Linked DNA regions of Oryzias latipes. The protein of the gene in region 2 interacts with the protein of the main gene of each other region in a pairwise test. Links are inferred from orthologs where the notes say so. Each region holds a gene or a part of one and is shown on either strand. Other genes may lie near its edges. The genes, in order: parp11 and gtpbp3.

Region 1 (4,284 bases), on a different chromosome or scaffold from region 2:
AACAGTTGTAGCGGGGATCGAACCACAGATCCTTCGACCTGCTCAACCACTTCTCTTGCTACTTTTTGTTTACTTGATTTGCATTTTGCAAAACTGAGCTAAAAATTCAACATTATATGCGCACCATTAAAACGTAATAAATAGAACTGTAACAGAGTGTGTTTGGTTCAATATCAGCTAGACCAAAACTAAAAATCTGTTAGAAGAGCGATAACTGTACCTGAATGTGGCTATCTTTCTGCTCACCTGGTAAGGCTCGTCTGTATTGATCCTCTCCCAGTGACAAGGAACAGGTAAGGCGAGGTTATCGCAGATAAACCTGATTTGTAAGACATCGTAATAAGGATTTGTTGTTTGTTTTATTTTATTTCAAGCAACTTCAGCGATAAAAACAAAGTAAAAAAACACGACAAGAACAAAAATTTGTTGATATAGGAAATGGATTTCAGATATTAATCCATAAATTGATTAGAAAATAAAAAAAGGAACGAAAAATTCTGCTTTTTTTCTTTAGATTATAATCACTACTAACCATAAATATCAATTTTGCAGATATAAATATAGTACACCCACATGGCACACTGATTCCATTAAACACAATGATTGTCAGAGTGGGATTATTTTATTAAAAGGGATTGGGAAAAAGTAAATTAAAATAATCTCACCTCTGTTAAATGCAGATTGAAAAGGGAAATGCAATTTGTAAAGCTGCTTTTATTCTTTTGTGAACCAAATTCCTCATTTGACAAGAACAAAAACCAGATACAAAAAAAAGGCAGTTGTTCAAAGTAAAATAACAAATGTTACCTGAAGCCAGTTGCAGAATGGAGGGAGCGTTTAATTGGCCTCTGCTTTCCTGTTGTCACGTTTATCTGTCGCATAACTGGAAAACCATTGCATAAAAGATAAGAAAACGACAAAAAAATAACAGTTTGCAAATAATTTCCTTGTATGTTTTCTCACCTGAGAAGTCGAGTCTGTACGTGTACTTGGCGGTGTAAAATTCCATGATCCCACGCTGGTTCCTGTTGTAGCACTGTTCGATCTGAGCACTCGTCACTGAACAGGCTGCACTTGGATCAATCTGACAGAGACAAGAAAAGAGGAAAATAATAGTATTTCATTCACGCCAGCCATTGCAGGGCCACTACGCTGCAAGAGGCCCACTCCACCACCCCCAATGTCTTAGCTTTACCACACAATATATTTTTTTACATCTGGAAAAACGAAAATACTCATTAAATGTCTCAAAATAACAAAAAAAAAATTTGAGATGGATTGCCTAAATAAATTATTTCAAAATGCAACCACCAGATACTTAAATTGTCACATGAAATAGGGGAAGAAAGTGAAAAAACGTTTTTTTTAAATTGTTTACTTTTTTGATATTGATGTAAGAAATCAATAACCTCAAAATAAATTTACAATTTATTGTTTACAATAAAAAATTACATTAAAGGAGATTAGGATTTTTAAATATAAACATGTCTTTTTGGTAACAAACCTACATTTGTATTAAAATATGTTCTCCAAAATGAGTTTTTTTTTTCTGTTGAGATTTTTTTTTCAAACAATTAACTAATTTAGTGCACAGTATTTTTTAAATTCACATACAGGAAATTGTAAGTATTTTAAGCTATGGGTAAAAAAAAGAAGAGGAACAGAATTATTAAAGTCCTACTTCAATCATCTTTTGATCTATTGTAAACGCGTTCCCAGTGGTCTTTTAATTATGATTATGGTGTTTTTAGCAAAAAACCTGTGTTGTCTTTTTAGGACAAAGTTTCTGCAGAGCGGCAGTACTTCAGAAATTTGCCTTTGAGTTGTGGGAGGAACTGTTGGTGCGAGTAGGCCCATCTCGTTTCACATCATCCATCAGTTTACATACTCTCCTGCTAGTCCATCACACCGGCAACCTAACATTAGCGGTTCAACAAAGATGGCGAGCAATATCGGAGCCGTACAATTTAGAGCCAGATGCCAGCTGAGATGAGGAAAACAAAGACGCACATGTATGATGAATCAGAATGGGAGGGAGCTTGTGGCTTGCCATAGTGGCTTCTACGTCACCACTACACAAGCTTTTTCCATCAGCGCTTTTTGCTTGCTCCTGTGTCACAACGATTTGAATACAGGAATACACATAAATAAAATGTTGAGCTTAATTTTCTTTATGCATGACATCCATCATGAGAAAAATGCTACAAGAACATGTTTAAAAAAACACAAACAACTTTTATTGGAGTGAGTCTTTAAATACTTTGTTTTTGAAAGACAGTATAGCTGCCCAAAGCTTTTGGATCTCAGAAAATTTGGTAAAACAAAATACAAACTTTTTATTATTTTTTTCTGACAAGTTATTGAATATTTTTGACAAGTTTATCCAAAAAGGTGACGTGATGTAAACTACCTCAAACATATGCCATACTCCACACTCGGCTAGGTAGAACCAGCACCAGTTGGATTCGGAGGTGTCCATCTCCTCAATCTCAGGGGACTCCTCCTCTGACGACCTGATGGCTAACATAGCTAAATCTGAAATGAACACAAATAACATTATACAAATGCGCTTCAAGGCAATCTGTAACTGAAACAAATGACAGGAGAGGGACTCCGACTTGTGTTTGACACATTAGACAAACCTAACATTGATGAGCAGTGTTTAAACCATAGTCGCGGGGACATTTCATCCTGTAAACAAATCAAAACAACACAGGAATTCGCTGTATCAAGCTAGCTCACATTAGCAACTGTCGCTTCAACTCAGCTTAAAATACAATCCTATTAGTCTGCTGTTGTGTCTTTTCAAGAGAAATATAAAAAAGGCCGTGCTCTCTGCCCAGAAAATCTGCCAAATCACGCATTCATTCTATTCTTTTGAAGACTGAATCATTTTCCTCCTCAAATCCGTTGTTTACTTTCACTTCCTGGTTTTGTTACTTAGCGACGCAACAGCATGACGTTGACTTGTGGGCTCCTCCTCTATCGCCCGCTTGTAAATGCCCTGAGCTGGTTCTGTCAGGCACAAATTTCAATGAAGGAAAGTGTTAGGAGGAGTCATTAAGATTCGTGTTTTTCAGTCAATTAATGATGGCTAAAACAACCATTTGATTTTAACTATATATTTCAAGTTTGGTGATACAAATAAAATCGAGAATCTATGGAAAAACAAAATGTAATCCACTTAAAACGAGAGAGTGTTAGAACATTCCAAAAGCCAACATGGCACATAAATTTAACAATACACAGACAGAAAAACGATAAGTTCAGCAGTAAAAGTATGATAAAGAATTCAGATCTTAACTTCCATTGTCTATTCAACTATTAGTTAAAAAGGTACATACATTTGTTTTAAAGTCCCACTCATCTCTAGTGGTCTTTTAACTATAATAATACTGTTAGTAGGCAAAAAAAAAAAAAAAAAGTGCCATTTCCCAGGAAATAGTTTTGCAGGTCGGCAGTACCATATTAGACATTTTCCTCTGAGCTGTGGGCGGAAACGTTGGCGCAGAGCAACCCCGCCCCCCTTTCCCTCCCTGTTGCTTAGAGCTTCTGGCCCGTCGTATTACTACATCACAAATACATACTTTCATCATCTGCATTTTTTGTCTGCTCCTGATTCACAATGATTTGCATGAATAAATACTCAGAAATGCATTTTTAAGCCTAATTTTATATTATACACGCCTTCTATCATCAGAAAAATGCCACGTGAACGTGCTAAAAATTATTTAAAAAAATGACTGTCAGAGTGGGTCTTTAACTTTGATCCAACAATCTCTATTAATCTGGTGGTCCCAAAATATGTGTGTTAGGTCTCTTTTTTGTTGTCTTCAGGGACAGACACCACCATGCCTACGCACTGATCCAGTGTGGGGACTCAGGCCACAACCTCAGACACAGCAGCCCAAAAGCATCCACATACACAGGACACACTTCCACAACAGCTTCTTCCCAGCGGCAGTCAGAATCTTAGCACAGGACATGAGAGAGGAAAGAGTGAACCACACATAATCCCCCCTGCAACACAATTTACTTATTTATTCAGTTGTTTAAGCTATTTAACTGTATATAGCAAAACTGTTGTTAAACAACCGGGACACCAAGTGCAATTTAGAACAATGAACAACTAAAATATGTCACAGCATATAACATGACTATTATACAATGTGCAATAATGACAAAGGTGGGACTCTACAATATCCAATAAAATATATTTCTCCTTAATTAAATTCCTTTTTCTCATTTCTATTTTATGATCCTTGTTCAAGTTCTGCTGTTTTG
Region 2 (4,336 bases):
TTAAAACTCAAGAAGAAGAAGGAGGAACACGCAAAGTCCATTAAATAAAATGATCAAATCACAACCAGGATACAGAAGACCTCATGATTCAGGTATCTTCCACATATGTGTGTGTCAATAAGGATATTTTAATTGTTACTACTCCACAGAACATGAACTAGAACTATAAAAACAGGAAGCTTGAGAGTTCTTTAGAAACAGCTGTAGAGATTTTTTCAAAGCAACAAAAGCATTGTGTGGGGGTGAGGTCTGACCTGCAGCTCAGTACAAACAGGTTCTTTCCAAAGTCTCTCTTGAGGGGAAAGCTGCAGTATGAATTGTTTCTGCTGTCAGGATGGTCTAACAACGAAATGTTTTTATTTGGAGACTTCTTCAGCTCTGGAGGTCATTCCTGCCCACCACTGTGATTTCATGCAGTGATGTGTCCTTGTTTTTGTTTTTTTAAAACCAAAATGGAGAAAGGACAAACTATTTACTGGATCTGAGACCAGGTTCATTTTAAAACAAAGCGATCTCTTGCATTGGGATTATTCTCCAGTAAAAAGCATTACAACTGTCATTCAGAAAGAAACCCTTCAGAATGAAGGCAGTGTCTGGTAACAGAAGACCTACTCGTTTCAGTCTGTGGCTCCAGCCTTGATAGAGGCGTTCCAGATCTCCAGACATCTGTCGAAGAGCTTGTCTTCGCTGAGCCTCTGTCTCTGCATGGATTAGATCCCCAAGTCCTTCAACCTTTGAAAGAAAAAAAAAAAATCACATTTGATCTCCACAGGTCTCATGCTTAATTCTTGCAATACCATTTTGAAAGTGATGCCATTAAAGTGACAATTTATTCATAATTATATGCATAATTTGTTATTGCCAGACTGACACCTGATGGCTTGGGGAAACTGTAAGTTGCATCTGTAACATCAGAATATAAGCTTTAACATTTACTGTATTTAAAAACTTTAAACTATTTTGGATTTTCACGTATCTTTTTTACCTTTTCAAAAATAAAAGCTCAGATTAAAGTCAATTACAATTTACTGCAAACATTTAAGTATTTGTCCGGCGTAATGCAACAAATGCATCAACCTAAAGACAGAAATAAGACGAGCACAGAAAATCGAAAGATTATTTTCTGCAGTTTTGGCTTCAGATGAAAAATGCCTTCATGATTTCATAACCTTTAAAGGTTTACAACACACTGATGCACCATGGGACGTTTTAATGGATTTCACTCGCCTCAGTTAAACCCAGCTTTCCTGCTTGAAAAGCCCTTCGCGTGAACTCCCCAGCTTCGGCAGGCCTCATGCCAGGCATGCTTCCTGCAAAACGTGCACACAAACAAAAACATGAACTGGTGAGACATGCAGCCTGGATCACAGAAACGCAGACGATCAAACACAGGGTCACAATGTCACTTCAGCTTAAGAACACAAACAGGCACATCTGCTAGTTCTCCAGATTGCAAATGCATAGTGCTTTCAACCAAATATCAGATTTCATCAAGAGACAATGGTAAGTGCAACTCGTCTGGAAAAGGGGGTTTTAATATTTGATCAACATTTTTAATCAAAAGCACTAAATCTCTTTTGATTTAAAAATACACTATAAATACTGTGATGTTGTAATAAATAAATAAACAGCTATTGATTTAGCTTTTTAGCACTTTAACTTCCACCTAATTCCTCCTCTTAACTTGTGTAACACTGTCCTCTAGCGGCCAAGAGTGAGACTGCAGGGGTTTCATGCAATTCAAAGAATTGTCATGCTGAACAAACCACATTTATTTAGCATCCCATAAAATAAAAATAAAAAACATTAAATACAGACCTAATTTAAAAAAAAAAAGATTGTATTATTGAAACTGATTGTTTTTGTTACCCAAAGCCTGTAGGACAGCAGTAATCACAGCAGGACCTCCATGGATGTGGAACTCAACACTGTCTTCTCCTGTGAAACTATGAGGACCTAAAACATGTAAAGAATTGCACTTTTCAGCCAAATACTAAAAATTAGTTCGCAAATAAAAAGATTTGAGCAAACCAGGACTATGGATGGATAAATCAACATGTTAAAAACATCTTAAAGAATTGAAATGGTAATAAACAATATGTATTTATGAGTAAGGTGGTTTTAGTGCCCCACAATTCTCCCACTGAGAACATCATGTTGTTTTAGTTGATGGTATGTTGTTGATATAATGTTAATCAGACCAAATCAAGAGCATAACCTTAAATTTTCTGGATTTTAAAGGCATTAATGAAAACACGAAAACATTTGAATTAGTTGGTACTGCACCAGGAAACCATAGGACCAGGCCACGGTCCAGGATCTCTTTGGAGTTGGGGTCTGTTATGCTGCGTAACAGGGCTGTCCGAGGAGAAGGCAAGCAGCACTTCAGCCCCGCCATGCATCTCAAAGCCATGGATGAGGCAGAACCACTGACACGGACCACAGCCACCCCACATCTGCCATGACCTGATGACAACGCAAAGATGGTGTCTGCATCTGCCAGGCCAGCTGGAACTCCATTAAAGGTGGACACAAGCTGATGTAGAGTAGTTACTCGACTGGAAAGGATAGATGTACTTAGTTATTCTAGTTTTTAATTACATTCAATACACTTTCTAACTGATAACTTGCTGATATACATTCAACACAAAGTAAACATTTTGAATGTTAAAAAATAGGGAGACTTATGAGCCTTTACCCCATCTAATCCACTCTATCATTAAAAAAAAGACTTAAAGCAGTAAATAAAACGCTGTATAAATGTAAAGCAAACCTTTTCCTGTGTGTGTGGACTGCAGCTCTACGAATTTCCCGAAAAATAGATAGAAGCGGTAACATAATTTTACATTAGTTAACTAAGTGTAACGTTACGTATTTATTAACATTTCGTCGCGTTGTTTCTTCTTATTCCATAACGTGTTTTGTTGCAAATAGAGACATCTTTAGCCCCGGTTAGCTCTAATCAAGGTCGCCAGGAAATGCAATAACAGCAGAGAAATGTCGACAAACAAAACTAATATAACAGTTATTCATTTTCCACTGTTAGATTCACAACTTCTACTCTGTCAAATCTCACGCTGCTGTCTATCAGCGCATGTTCAGCCTCCGGGAAATGATTGGTCGACGTTTTCCACATTTCATTTTCTATTAGTTTTAACACACGTCAATCAAATTTAAGCCTCGCCCATTTGTGCATCGGGAAACATCTTCCGTCAAAACATATCCACCCCTTTAGTGTTCCCCTTCTGGCCAACATATGCGGCAGGCTAAATTTTGAATTTAAAGCCCACAAACAATACATTCGTTTTCCCTTACCTTCACTAACCTATTCGTCCGTCTGATACTATGCTGCTCTTTAGTTGCTTTTTTAATTTAAACTCTTGTGGTTAAATTTTATTTTTTAAATAAAATAGAAAGAAAAAGCGTTTTTACCATTATCAAATACTAATGATTAAGAATAACATGTCTTAAATTAAAAACTTTACTTTTTTAAAATGAAATTCACTTTAAATAATACACTTCTTTTTTGAATGCACAATGTATTATTATTATTATTGTTGTTTTTTTTTTACTTTTAAGCTTTTATATATTATTTGTGTGTGTGGGGGTGGGGGGGGTATGGAGTCTGTGTATTTGCATGACGTCATATTTATTTATTGAATTAAATATTTATTTATTTAATTATGAACAGTATAGGACTCCATAGGGGGGGTCTCTTGGCCAGGTCTCTCTCAAAATAGAAATGTAATCTCAACGGACTTCCTGGTAAAGTAAAGGTTAAATAAATAAATACAGATACGAGTACAATTACCACGCGTTTATCGCTTTGTATCTTTGCTGGTTTCCCTGTGTAAATATATATTAGCTGATAATATTGAAATTCACGACAGAATTTAAACAAATTTAAATAATGGCAGTAAATTTGGTAAAACAAAAAAGATGATACAGGACTTTTATTTCTGCAACAAAACCCAAATAACAAAGGACATGTTAAACAATAGCTTGGGTCTTCCTGTATTGAAATGATTTTTTTAAATTTTATTTATTTTATTTCTTTACCTACTTCATCATCATTATGTTATTATCCAACTGTTTACATTTAAAACATTTTTAGTAAAGTACTTTGTTTAGAGCAGTGGAACTGGTAGAATCATTATGGCCACTATTTTTTCCTTTTCACAGAATGCACATGCAATTTGCAAAACATAAAAAACAAGGCATAGACTGCACATGAACTCATGTGTGTGCCCTATAAGTTGCCTTGCACCTGTCAACCCAAAGGATGGTGAGTAAGCACAATCTCTGCTCACACATGGATGCTCCTGTGTTGAGCATC

What was found.
Region 1: the proteins of gtpbp3 (region 2) and parp11 interact in binary tests that used the Homo sapiens proteins (3 or more experiments, as listed by UniProt). The two-hybrid records come from large-scale screens. The link is inferred for Oryzias latipes from reciprocal best matches to the Homo sapiens genes GTPBP3 and PARP11.

Annotation. Positions count from the first base shown.
Region 1 is NC_019881.2:15,836,557-15,840,840, reverse strand, and holds the start of parp11 (poly [ADP-ribose] polymerase 11), read right to left. Parts: upstream 2,961-4,284; 5' UTR 2,686-2,960; coding exon 2,643-2,685; intron 2,536-2,642; coding exon 2,411-2,535; intron 1,085-2,410; coding exon 964-1,084; intron 884-963; coding exon 808-883; intron 320-807; coding exon 247-319; intron 1-246. UniProt on the Homo sapiens protein: Mono-ADP-ribosyltransferase that mediates mono-ADP-ribosylation of target proteins. Plays a role in nuclear envelope stability and nuclear remodeling during spermiogenesis. Inhibits the type I interferon activated signaling pathway.
Region 2 is NC_019862.2:14,621,097-14,625,432, reverse strand, and holds the start of gtpbp3 (tRNA modification GTPase GTPBP3, mitochondrial), read right to left. Parts: upstream 3,118-4,336; 5' UTR 2,839-3,117; coding exon 2,774-2,838; intron 2,559-2,773; coding exon 2,287-2,558; intron 1,957-2,286; coding exon 1,870-1,956; intron 1,311-1,869; coding exon 1,228-1,310; intron 733-1,227; coding exon 613-732; intron 1-612. UniProt on the Homo sapiens protein: GTPase component of the GTPBP3-MTO1 complex that catalyzes the 5-taurinomethyluridine (taum(5)U) modification at the 34th wobble position (U34) of mitochondrial tRNAs (mt-tRNAs), which plays a role in mt-tRNA decoding and mitochondrial translation.